2 linked regions of the Drosophila melanogaster genome follow. The protein of the gene in region 2 purifies or fractionates together with the protein of the main gene of each other region. This does not show direct contact. Each region holds a gene or a part of one and is shown on either strand. Other genes may lie near its edges. The genes, in order: Tlk and Slmap.

The links.
Region 1: the proteins of Slmap (region 2) and Tlk purify together in Drosophila melanogaster (affinity purification with mass spectrometry, with the first as the bait; one large-scale study listed by BioGRID). This does not show direct contact.

Annotation. Positions count from the first base shown.
Region 1 is NC_004354.4:3,770,724-3,776,010, forward strand, and holds the start of Tlk (Tousled-like kinase), read left to right. Parts: upstream 1-1,916; 5' UTR 1,917-2,311; intron 2,312-5,091; 5' UTR 5,092-5,287.
Region 2 is NT_033779.5:22,576,818-22,585,108, reverse strand, and holds the start of Slmap (sarcolemma associated protein), read right to left. Parts: upstream 6,038-8,291; 5' UTR 5,857-6,037; intron 5,360-5,856; exon of another isoform or gene 5,289-5,359; 5' UTR 5,269-5,288; coding exon 3,976-5,268; intron 988-3,975; coding exon 427-987; intron 368-426; coding exon 1-367.

The sequences.
Region 1 (5,287 bases), on a different chromosome or scaffold from region 2:
TATATAATAAGCGCACCTCGATAGATTTTCCCATACCCACTATACATACATACATATATTGTACATTTGGTTACAAAATAAAATAAAAAAAAAAGCAAACTGCAAGATAAGGGAAGGGGAGAATCCGAGGGGCACACAAAAATGTGAGAATCAAAATCAATAACTCAATAGGCATTCGAAAAGGAAAACAGAAATAAGCGCAAAGCGAAGCAGATTCGTTCAATAAATAATGCGTATACGCTTCTATATACATATGTATGTTACATATACATACATACATTTTATATATATGTATGCCGATTTACAGGGAAACAAACGGGTTGTGTTTAACCCACAGCCAAAAGGCAATCGAAGGCGGCTATCCTGACTTCTGGCTTCTCAGTCTTGGCTTTTGCTGGCTGGCTCTCCGTTCGAATCGACTGGACTATGACAGTCAGCCGATAAAGATGATCGGGCCTAAGAGTCGGTCAAATAATGTCGGTGGTTGGCAGGGGTGGGGTGTGTACCCTGAGTCGAGTTGAGTCACCAACTACACTACATGCCCCATGCTCTAAACATGCGCTCATCCCCAGAATCGTAATTTGTGCCTCATTTATACACACAATTTCAATGACAAATCGATTGAGGTGCTCAGTTTGCCGATTTCTGGTTTATATTTATAAAACCGATTGGTAATCTACGCGGAATGGCAAATACATACATACATACATACATACATACGTTTAGAAGGAAACACAAAATCGCAAATAGCGCTAATCAAGTTGGAATTGCAACAAACCCCATAATTGAATAAGATTTGTATTGTACATACATATATTTTACAAATGTATATTTATGTTTTTTTCTATGCCTTTTTGGTAGTACCTTGCTGCTACCTTGTTGGAAATATATGGGGAATGTGGCTCCGAGAATACACAATCTCTGGTGTATTCCCCACTTTTTCAGCTGCTTCCTCTGCATTCGTTATCTTTCTCTTTGTGTACATAATATACTTGCTTTCACATACATATGTATGTCCATACATATATGTTTGTATATGTACGTAACACATTTTCCCGTTGATAAGAATAATGAAGTTAACTTATAGAGCCATTCCGTTTCCGATTCAATCCGCAGTTCGATTCTTCGCTTTTTCATCACTTAATTCGCGCTTTTTTATTACAATAAATTCCATTTTTTTTTATCAATTTGTATAAATAAATGTCCTACGGATTTAGAAAAACCAGTTCTGCTGGCTTAAGCGATGATTTTATAATGTTTTTCAAGAGCGATGAATTATGAAACTGCAGGGATAGTATAGGATGTATGTATGTATGAATGTATTATGCCCCATCTTTTCGATACCTATTTATTTAGATCTCGCTCTTTTCTCTGCCCTCTTGAATACCTCTAAAAATAAACTAATTTCCCCTGCAGTTTCGTTTTAATTTTATTTTTTTTTAAGTCCTAAACAATTCCATTCTGCTAAGAATTGAAATTTTTGTCAAGATTTCTCACCTATGAATGTACACATCATGGGTATTGGATGTATTCATGAATGCTAGAAAAAAAATGTAACAAAATGGGGAATATTATTCATTCCAACAGATGCGGTAATGTTTCTGTTCTTGCTCCCTTGCCTTGTTTTTTATTTACTTTTTTTTTGGCAATTTTCGGTTTGTTTTGCTTTGCCGGGTATATTTATACATTTGCGATAAACAAAATATGTATATTCACGACGACAATGTCGATTACCTCATATGAAATATTTGACTCGGCCAGCAAATAAGAAGCGTATTTAACAATATGACACGCCCCTCGCCCGTCGTCTGGCCCAAACGCCCAATCCCAATAATATCGGTGACTTATGCTTAACTTTGGAAGCCTAATAATTCAACACAAGTCCATTTAGAATTAATTTTCGACATTTATTTTTTGAACTTTGACATTGTAATGTTTTCACTGAGGATTTGATAGGGTATTCAACTTTTCGTCTTTTGCTTTCAATCCGTCATTCGTGAGTTTTTATTTTGTGCGAATTTTCTGTTCTGTCGCCTTTTATTATTATTACTACAGTTTTATATATTTTTTTGTGTGAAGCGTACTCTGCCGACGTCGCTGCCACTGCCAGCGCTGTCGCTTTGACGATTTGCGCTTTGCGTTGCGCTTACTCACAATCAAATCTCACGCCGCATTTTTAGTCTCAATAATAACTGAAACGAAAAACACGCGCAGCCGAAACGAAGCGCAAACCAAAGAGTAAAGCGAAAGAAGCAAGGAAGGCAAACGGCGAACAAAAACGCAAAACGAAAACGACGACACGTCGTCAAACGTCAGTTGCCTTTTATTTATTTTATTCCGCCACTCTTTCCTCTGTGTCCGTTCATTTTCTTTTGTTCAATTTCTTTATTTGCGAGTGTTCGTATGTGTATGAATGTGTGTGCTGATTGTTTTTGCATTTCGCGTTTGCTCAAATAGTAAATTAAACTGTTTTTAAGTTATCCACAAAAAAAGGGTCGGGGAGGGTGTGAAAAATAGAGGAGACGAGAGCAACTCGTTCTTCGTCACTCGCTGCGTTTTTTGTTGTCGTGGGTCGCCGTCTTTTCCACTGACTGGGTCGCTCTCTTTCTCTCTTATCCCCTTCTCACACCTCATTTGCCTGTTCTTGTTATAGTTGTATTTGTTGGTTCAGCATAATTAGACGACTCTGCGAGAGTAACAGTGCTGTCAGTTCAACGGTTTTCCCCGCCAGATCTAATTGTAAGACAAATTAAATTTACCATTAGAATTTACATACTTTTATTGGCGTCGAAATGAAAAAAATATTAGGTCGATTTTGTTATACAAACCGATATAATTGTTATTTCTATATAAGATATGAGCTTCCAAATCCATCCATATTTTTTAAATATTTATTCCAAATGAAGCACATAAAATTATATTGAGCAACACTATTGCTCTCCACTTTTCATTGTGCTGTTTTGTTTTTGGCCCTCTTTGCCTCTCCCACATGAGGTTCTCTATGTTTTTTTCGCCATTGTTGTGTTTCTACATTCGCGGCATGTTAATTTGTTGATTCTCGTTCTCAATGCTTTTTTGTAGGTTTCTTTTGTTTTATTTGTCATACTCGCCGTTTGTTATCAAAAGGGAAACAACAAAAGGCCAACGACAAGCAAAGGCAAACAGATAAACGTCGAAAGCTTGTCGCATATTTAAGGTATTTGCCTGGTTTCATCTCATAAAGCTTTTAAACATTCTAACTAGTTATGCTTTCCATTCGTTCCGTCTTCTTTTTTCTAATTGATTACGCGATTTTTATAGAATTTCTGATCGGAAATGCCGAATTAAAGTCTAATTAGGGGGGTATGCAGAAAATGTAGAAAATGTATTTATCAAATAATTTTTCTTATCTTTTTCGGTTGACCCAGATGATTGAAATCGTATAAAATTCTTTTAAATCTTGACTTTTAACGTGTTCGATAACATATCCCTTCATATGTTTGTTCGTGATTTTTTCAATCTTTTTTCACCTCGTCTTCTTTATCTATCAGTGTCTCTGTTTTGCTCACTTTGCTTTGCTATTTTTCTGATTGTGCGACAACTGCTTAACAATTCACAATTATGTACATACATACATATGTATGTACGTATAGATCTACAGTAAATCCTGGTATTGTATTCATTGTGTCGCCCCAAATTTTATGAATTTTTTGTAACATCAAAGACAACACAAATAGTAGATCTAGAAACTATCTACAAGATCAAAAAGATCTTTTTTGGAATTGTGTTTATTTCTTTTAGATAGATTAAATAACTCGCGTTTGTTTTGAGGAGACTTTACTGTCGTTTCGTGTGCACATCTGACTATGTAGTGTCCGTGTGTATTTGTTGATTGACTCAACTTGACGACGGAGACACACGCGCGCCCAATTCACAAAACTTTTGTTTTATACACCGAATCTTTTATTTTCTGTTTTCTTATTTGTTATGCTGCGTGATTACGTCAGCTGGCATTTGGTTTTTAATTTTCGAAGGCCTGGGAAAGCATATGCACATACAAACACACAAACACTCTCTAACTAACTCACTCATATGCAAAAAAAAAGGAGAAAACAGGTACATAAAAGTGTGTAGAAAAATTTAATCATTTTGCTCTGGCACAGTTGTTGTTGACTTGTTTCTGGTGAAAGTTTCACAAATCAAATGGAGGAAAAATCAGCGACGAATCGCAAAAAAGTGCAACACAACTCATCCATTAAAAAGTAAAAATCGCTGAAAAATCCTAAAGAAAATAAAAAAAAGGAAGAAACCAGGGAAAATTGCAGATTTGAGTTCATTGATTTTCTTTTGCTTGTGAAAATCCGAAATATGCAAAAATGAGTGTTTTACCTATGACCAATACATACGTATGTATGTACACCATCTACACCAATGACTTTATTTGTGTATGTGCAAATTTAATTTATCTTCTCCCTTAATATATCCCAAAACGAATGAAAAAAATAGACAGAGAATGTATAAAAGTGCCCACAGCCCCGCATTATTTCTCTGTCTCGTTTTTTTTTTGTCCCCCTCTCTGTCTTGCTTCATCACCTGTCATTGGCAAGGCAACCGTTAGCTTGCATTTTGTCGGCGAAGTAACGGCACAAGTATTGCCTTCTCTCTTTCATTTACAATATTGGCGAAAATACTACAAAATGATTCGATATTTTTTTTTATTAAAAAGTGTCATCATTTTCAGTTTTATTGTTCTTATTTATTTCTCCTAAAAACGTCGTAAAGTTTATGTACATACATGACCATACATATCTATTAATCCATAAACAATAGTTTTGTTGTGGCTATAATTGTGATTAAACAGCACTGAAACAAATTAATACGAGGGTTTTATTTGTTGCGGTTGCTTTCGATTACGAAATGTACATACATGTGTATGTATGTGTGTATGTGTATATGCGTTTTGTATGTGTTAACATTTGCATTCTTAACGTGAGCTGCGCAAGTTGAACGAAATAATAAATGCAGCCATCAAAAAATAAAAAGTCAAACGAAGCTAATAGATTTGGATATAAAAATTATTTAAACTACATATGTATGTGAAATGATTTACAGATATACCCTGAATAAAATGCTGTGGATAAGGGGATTAAAAAAATATGTAATTGCATTGCAGTTAGCGAATGTGCAAGCTTTCTAACGCCGAAGTCAGCGTGGGCAGCGCAGTCAGCGGTCTTGCCAACAAGAACAAGCGCGAAACATCGCGAAGCAACGAGAGCATGGCAGAGCCGCAGAGCAGCAGCGAGAGGAG
Region 2 (8,291 bases):
GTAATGCATTTGGAATATTAAGATTTTCCTCAACGTCTACAAGCTTTTCCTTACTTTCCGCATTAGGGGCTGACAATTTCGTTGCAGCCGAATCCTCTAAAATTGTATGTGTAGTTGAAGAATGGTTTTTAAAGTGATCCACGATTTCGGATGTATTTCTGCTAACGAACTCTGTTGGAACTGAATCGTTTGCCATATCCTCCTCCTCCTTAACTTTGCATTCAAAGGCTTCATCGTCACCATTAAAAATAGCTTTAAGCACTGAAGATCCTTCTTCTCCCTTGCCAAGATCGGAGTTCTTTAGCAATCTTAAGACGTTCGATTTATAATTGCCTTCTTCTAAATCGGGATTACTTAGTTTTAGCTTCTAGAATTAAATAGGAATATATTAATATATAATAGCATTAAGACTGCTATAAGCATTACCCTTTTTTTCGTTTCAGACAACACATTTTTAGCTGGTGACACAGACAAAATATCATCGTCAGAACTTTCATTATCATCCCTTTCATTTAGCGCTCTATCTTGAGCGTGGTCATAATCGTCAAGATTTATTGTATCTAAGTTTTTTAAGACAATTCGCTCCTTCAAATGTTCAGTATCAGACTCAGATAAATCGCGATGGATTCGCGAGACCTGCAGACGAAGCTCCTTAAGCTCGAGCTCCTGCGTCGTCAGCTTTCCATTTAGCACCTCTAAGCTGCGTGATTCTTGCTCTTTAGCCTCTTGTTCTTGGCGCACTGACTCCTTCTTGAATTCCATGTACTCCTGCTGAAGTTCCTCTAACCGGGTATTGAAATCAGTCAGCGTCTGCTTTAGTGTTAGAACTTGAGCGCGAAGTATGCCGCACTCGTTTTCAGAAGTGGCGTAGGCCATCTCCATCTTAGAGAGCATTTGCATAGCATCGCAGCGTTCCTGGTAGACCTTCCGCAGGGCCTCTTTGGCAGTCAACTGGTACGTTGTTTTGTCCTCAAGAAGCTTTACAATCTATTGAAGACAAAGAGAGAAATATTAAAAAAAAAAAATCAAATTTTACCAAAATATACTTAAAATTTTTTGCAGACAAAATTTTAATATTCAAAGGAGCTACTGACCATTAAGTCGGAAAAAGGTCCTCTTCGAGTTTTTTAAACCCATTTATAAGGGTATATTAATTTCTTTCAAAAAGCTAAAAGGTTGAATTTTCGAGCTATAGAATATTTCCTGTATTCGGTACCTTTTTGTTGTTTTGTCTTATTTCACGCACAAGTTTAAAATCGCATATTCGTATGGTCTCAATTTGCTTGCCTATCTGTATTTTTACCGTTCTGTATGAGTTCTTTGTTTTAGAGCCCTAGAGCACATGTATGTACAGTTTGTCAAGAAACTGTTTACACACTGTAAAATAAGTTGACTTTTTGACTTTAAAGCTAAAAATAAAGGGTTTTTTGCTTAATTAAACGCAATTTTTTTATAAAATATTATTAAACAATATTTATTTTACTTATAAATCAAAAAACAAATTAAAAATATTAAATATACAAGAAAATAAACAACAAATTCCAAGTTTACACACTTTTGAGACTGTCAAGAAACTCTTTACACAAAACACTAAATCGAAGTTTAATCCTAAATTTTTTAATTATTTTATTAAAATTTTAAAAGTTTTGGTATGTAGTATGTTCCCCATTGGCTTTAGCTACAAGTTGAAGCCTTTTTTTCATGGATTGGACAAGTTTTTGCAGGTCATATTCAAACGGGATCTTTTCACACTCTTCGACTATTACAGTCATAAGCTGTTGTTGTGTTTTAGGTCCCTTTTTGCCACCTTCTTCTTTAAGTAGGTCCACAAATTTTCAATGGGGTTCAGATCAGGACTCTGAGGGGGCGTATCGATCACTTTACCACAGTTATTAAGGCGCCAGGTGCGTACATTGCACTCTTTATGTTTCTGATCATGTCTTGGTAAAACTTAAAATTTGGCTTGTTGTTGCTAACCAGACTAATTTTTTCTACACTGGCCTTCAAATTTGTTTTCTAACATTTCTAGATATTGCACGGCATTTATTGTGCTCTCAATTAAGGCTAGTTTTCCCACTCCACGGCTGGTGATACAGCCCCACACCATCAGTGACATTTTTCCAAATTTTATCGTTGGAATGATATTTTGTTTTTCTAGCGCACTCAACGGTTTGCGCCATACTCTGCTTGGCCCGTCGTTATAAAAGAGCATCATTTTTGTTTCGTCACCAAATATGACGTCATCCCAGTACTCTTCCGCATGATCTATCATGCTCACAGCGAATAAATGACGCTTTTCAATATTGGCATCTGACAGCAAAGGGTTTTTCCTTGCAACTCTTGAAGAGTACCTATGGCGTAGGATGACTTGGAGCACAGTTTCGTGTGACACAGCTAGGTGACATTCTTGCCTGATATCCAGAGCAAGTGATCTGACCGAGATTCGGGGGTTCGCAATCACTATTCGCATAATAAAGCGGTCTACACGCTTTTTAATTTTAATTTTCCGCCCACCACCACTCTTAGGTTCAAGCCTGCCCTCTTTTTCCGAGCCTTTTAAAACATTGTAGACGGTCTTACGGGATACAGGAAACATTTATACTAATTCTGGAAAAGATTTTCCCAACTGGTGGTTATAGTTTATTAATTGGGTAACTTTAAAAGTTAATCTCTTTCCAGGCATTTTATTAAATTTAATAATTCGCTTTAAGCACGTTTGATCAGCAAAATTTCACAAGCAAAGTCAACAAAATTTCAATAGAAGCGTTGTAAAAAGCAATGCAAAGCCAAAAATAACGGAAAAATCGAGTTCGTTCTAAGAAAAAGAACAAAACAAAGTAGGAAAACAAAATGTGTAAAGAGTTTCTTGACAGTCTCAAAAGTGTGTAAACTTGGAATTTGTTGTTTATTTTCTTGTATATTTAATATTTTTAATTTGTTTTTTGATTTATAAGTAAAATAAATATTGTTTAATTATATTTTATAAAAAAATTGCGTTTAATTAAGCAAAAAACCCTTTATTTTTAGCTTTAAAGTCAAAAATTCAACTTATTTCACAGTGTGTAAACAGTTTCTTGACAAACTGTATATACATTAGAATATAACTCTTTTAATTCTGTAAATTAGAAAGTGTGGGGTGGGAAACAGCTTTTGGTATCAAATAGGAGTCCCTTATTTTGTACAAAAATAATAGCAATGATCTGTTCGTATCAAATGTGAGGATTGGGTCAGCAAAGCACAATTTGTTTAAGGATTTATTTTTTCTGTTATATAAAAACTGAGAAAAAAAGAGAAAATATACTTTAACCTAAAAATTAGAAACAAATAAAAAGTAACGTTTACAAAATATGTATAACAAATTACTCCACTGGCACCAATCGGTGGCACCAAAATACCATTTGCTCACAATTAAAATACAATACACCTTATACAAATGATTATAATTAATGCGTATTCAAATAATAAAAATGAAGGAATCAATGAATGAATAACAAAATGAAACTCTAAAGCCATTATATACTGCTTTGTTTTAAAGGCACAACCACTAGATATAATTTGATGGGACCGAATTAAATTGCTTAGATTCAGATTTGCTTAATTTTTGTGCATTAAACATTTTGATTATGTTTGTAGTTAAGACAATTCATTATAAGATTTGGTTCAATTTATTTTATCTTGTCCGGTTTGGGAAACAGATTTATTAAAAATTTGCATATTGAAATCTTTAAATTAAAAGGAAAACACAAGTGTGCAAAAATGGTTTTTTAGAGATTCCGTTATACAGGCTAACGGAAAGGTGTGTACGTATTTATGAACAAACTTTTTTAATTGTTCGTGTGAAAGGTTTTTGAGGTTTTGCTTAGTTTCATGCTTAATACCAGTATTCTTGCTTTCATAGTTGTCCAGGATCACAGGATAAAATTGTAAAAAATAAACAAAGGCTTAATTTTTTAATCGGTCGCTAATGGGACTTACCTCGTTTCGCAGTGCATTCTCTGGAATGTTCTTTTCCATCATTTGCAGTTTCTTTTCCAGAATATTTATCTTGTGAAGCAATTGGTCTTCAGTGATCATGCTTTGCCAACACATCGCAGAGTTCTTTCTGGTGTTATCAAGGACGCCTTGCAAGCTGCTTAATTTAGCTTTCAGAGATTTTTCCCTTTGTGCAGCCTCTTGGAGGAACGAGCTTAGGCGCTGCACTTCATCAAAGCTGATTCGGTTAGGCACAGTCAACATCATCTGCTCTGCCTCAACTGAAATGGCCTCTTGTCCATTGGGTAGAAAGAGGGCGACACGGGCCAGGATACACCCGTGTACCTCCTGACGTGAATTCTCAATTACCTCAACGCCGAACTTCACAATATCGCCATAATGTAGTTCCGCTGGATCACTACCCAACTTGTTGTCGTTAATAAAGGTACCGTTGCTGGATTTTGTGTCTTTGACCCAGAATTTACCGTCTGGAGTGTACCACAAAATCGCATGGTTTCTTGACAATACTTTACAGTCAAATATAGCGTTCCCCTCACCCGCCTTACTTTTAGCTATAAGGCGGCCCACCTTGCAATCCTGGTTGGGCTGCAGCAATATAGATCTCGTTTCAAACTTGTGCGACTTTGGTTCACATAGGAGTACGATTTTTGCTGCACCCTTACATGGCGTTGGGGCAGACTCCAATCCTATGTCTAGATCTACGCCAGAAGTTGGGGGCACTGAAGAGACTTGTAAAGTGCCGCATTCCGATGCCACCTCCCTTTGTAAAGCACTATTGTTTAGTACTCCTAGTGGGCTAAACAGACTGCAGGCAGTAGTTACTCGAACTCCAACCCCGGTGTTATTTGCATTCAGCACAGAGTTCATGGCCATATTCATAGCATGCTGGGAAACTTCAGCCGGACGTCGGTCAATACATACTGTGTTGGAATCACAAAGTTCCATATTATTATTTTCCTGGTTCTTCGTGGACGCCTCGTTGTTACTATCAGCCATATCTTCTTTTATGTCCATTATATGAAAGAAATTGTCCTGCTCCAAATTTTTTTCAGTTTCCATGTTTAAAGCGTATTGCGCCTCCTCTGGCTTCACAGCAGGTTCTTCCCCGGATGGATATCTGGTCGTCTGAGGTAATTCCGTGGCCGTGTCGGTTGTGCCAGTTCTGTTTAATGCCGTTGATCCGACTGCTCCTGATGCTGGCGTCGGCGATAATGAACTTGACGTCTGGTCTTCATCAACATTATTTTTTAACCACTCATTGCACACCAAGACCATTACTTTACATCCAAACAAACCTTTGGGGATACGAGAACAAAAGCGGATTAACAAGTTAGTAATTAGTAATACACGAGTGGCTGCTGTTTGACAAATCCGACTAGCCGAAACATTGACAATGAATCCAAATTTTAAAGGCCTGCTTTAATTTAATGTAACTATAAAATTTGTCTTTTCCCGATGAAAATTTGAAAAGGTTTCCGACCACATAAGATATACACACATATGTAAATGCATACATACATACATACATACATACAGAATGAATTTGCATTTGATACAAAAATATGTACGTTCAATAGCAATGTTTTCAAGAATTATTGTAAACAAAAAACTATGCCATTAGTTGGTCATTCTTATGAATTAAGCAATTTTCGAGTTAAGGATGTGCCGATTAATTACGACAACTTAAACCAGGCATTAAAAATGTTTGGAACGGTTGGAAATTGTTTACTTTTTTGATTTAAAAATAAATTATATGGTACGGGGAGGACCGCTTAAGTTCAAGAACATTAAATTCGCAATAATATAAATGTTTGATATTGCGCAACGTTTTTACCTTTATTTTACAATGCACGCTTGGCTTACCTTGGAATTTTGTAATTTTCCTGTATTAATTGTTGCAACCTTCTACCCGTGTTTTTTAGTTTTCTTTAACTTTGAACAATTGTTGTACAAAAACACCTGGTTTCGCGGTAAATTTGTGTGCATACTTAAAATATTTCCGTCAAAATAGCGACAATCAACTGGTGATGAACACGGAACGATGAAAAAAGCGCTAAGCATTATTGTATATAATAATATACAATATACCAGTTTATATACCATATACCAGTTTCTATGTTGACATGCAACGATAGAACCATTCCATTCTGCAATTTCATTTCCAATAAATACAAACAATAATTTTCTAAAATTTTTATAAGAAATAAGATTTAAGAATTTTAAAATGTTTTAGAGCAATGTCGTATGCTAGAAAGGTTAAGAGTATGTTTGTAGTCGGCATACAAATGTTCTGCAATTACATTTCCAATAAAAAGAAACAAATAATTTTCTAAAATTGTTATAATAAGAAAGGAGATTTCGGAATTTTAAAATGTTTTAGAGCAATGTCGTATGCTAGAAAGGTTAAGGGTATGTTTGTAGTCGGCATAAAAATGTGTTTCCGAACCTTAAAGTATAGTGTACTCCTGATCATAAACACTATTCGATCAGGTCCGGTCTGTCTGACTGAAGGCTGTGATCTCGCAAACTACAAAATAGAGCTGGAAGAAACATCGGAGATAGCGCTACATAGATATTTAAAAAAAAATCGGAAACATCGAAATTTTCGGACATCGATGTTAGATTTTTCTGTTTTACCCATCACCATTTGCAGGGAAAGATCTTGCTAAGCTAATCGGCTAATGGCAAGACAGACAAATGTATTAAGTGGGGCAAGACACCAAACAAGTGCGAATAATACTAACTTGTCTTGCCACGTAATGAGGATACATATTAATTTAACAGTCAGTGAATTGCCACAAAGGCAACAGCAGTCAATTCTGTCATTTATTGACAAAATAATGAAACGTTGACGAATCGAAAACAAGTGCTCTACGCTACTACATTGGCTCAGACTTGCGCGGATTCGGATTTCGACGAAACAACTTATTTTTCTGAAAACATTGCAAACTTAATCCGCACAGTAATTGATGAACGCCCATATAGTTTGAAACAATAGAAATAGGTTATAGAAAATAAAATATATATGTATAGAAAATCCAGTTGGAATGGCGCGTTTTACCTGCTGAAACGATTTTTGATTACAAAGGTTGCTATCGCAACTGTTCTACTGAACCAAAGTCTCTAGAATAATAAAGAATTATTGTAGTGTCTTTGACTGAACACTCTCAAAGGGTTGGTTATTGCCGTAAATATCGAATAAAATATTCATTTTCGAGGATTTGAAGGCAATACTTTAACCTTTAGAGCATGCAACGGTTAAAGTTTACAAATTGTTCAAAATTGTGGGCGTGACCGGGTTGACGGCTTTTGGTCGTTAGAGTAGGCGTGTAAAAAGTTTTTGGCATATCGATATAAATTTTAGCGACTAATAGAATTATGAAAAAAATATCGAAAAAAGGTTTAAAAATGTGTGTTTTGCGCGGCATTTTTGGGAGGTTTTAGGGCGTTAGAGTGGGGCTGGCAGGTTTGTGTGCGTGGCAACATGGGTCAACCAACTTGCGCTGCGTCTTTTTCTGTGTTCTAGCTTTTTAAAATTCCTGGGATCTCGACGTTCATACGGAGAGAGGCCAGATAGACTCGGCTATTGATCCTGATCTAGAATATTTACACTTTATATGGTCGGAAACGCTTCCTTCTGCCTGACATACTTTTCAACGAATCTAGTATAACCTTTTACTTTATGAGTAACGGGTATAATGAGTGCATATCTTAATTATAGTTTGCAGCTTTATCGATGTTTGTTTTATTTTCTTTTAAATTGAATTCATTTTTCATTATAATTTTTGTGTTTGACGAGAAAGTAGTTTTAAGTTTCATTTTGATTTTCAGGCAATAAAAACACCAAAGTATGAATTTTAAATTTATAAAGAACTTTTACCCATTTTGATTTAGTTTTGGTATTCATTTTTAATATGATAATGACTAAAATACATTAAAAAACACCCTTAAAAATTTCGATGTATTGATACATCGATGGAGGTAAACATCAATGTTTTTCCAGCTCTACAAGACAGCTAAAATACGGGATTATCGATACTGTCGCCGTTCGAGTGGATTTGCCTTCAACGGCTACTCTCCTTGGATCCCGAAGGAAAGGAAAGACTCTTCCTGGCAGTAGTAGTGTGGCGCCCAGACTGAAGCCCGGTCTGGCATCACGGCGAAAACAGGTACTAACGCCAAGACCTTTCCTGGAGGACGATATCTTCTGATATTGTCAGACTGGACACACTCCAAGCGCTTTCAGCAAAGATCACCGACTTACCGAGCAACTACGTCAACATATCAGGGCAGCCCGA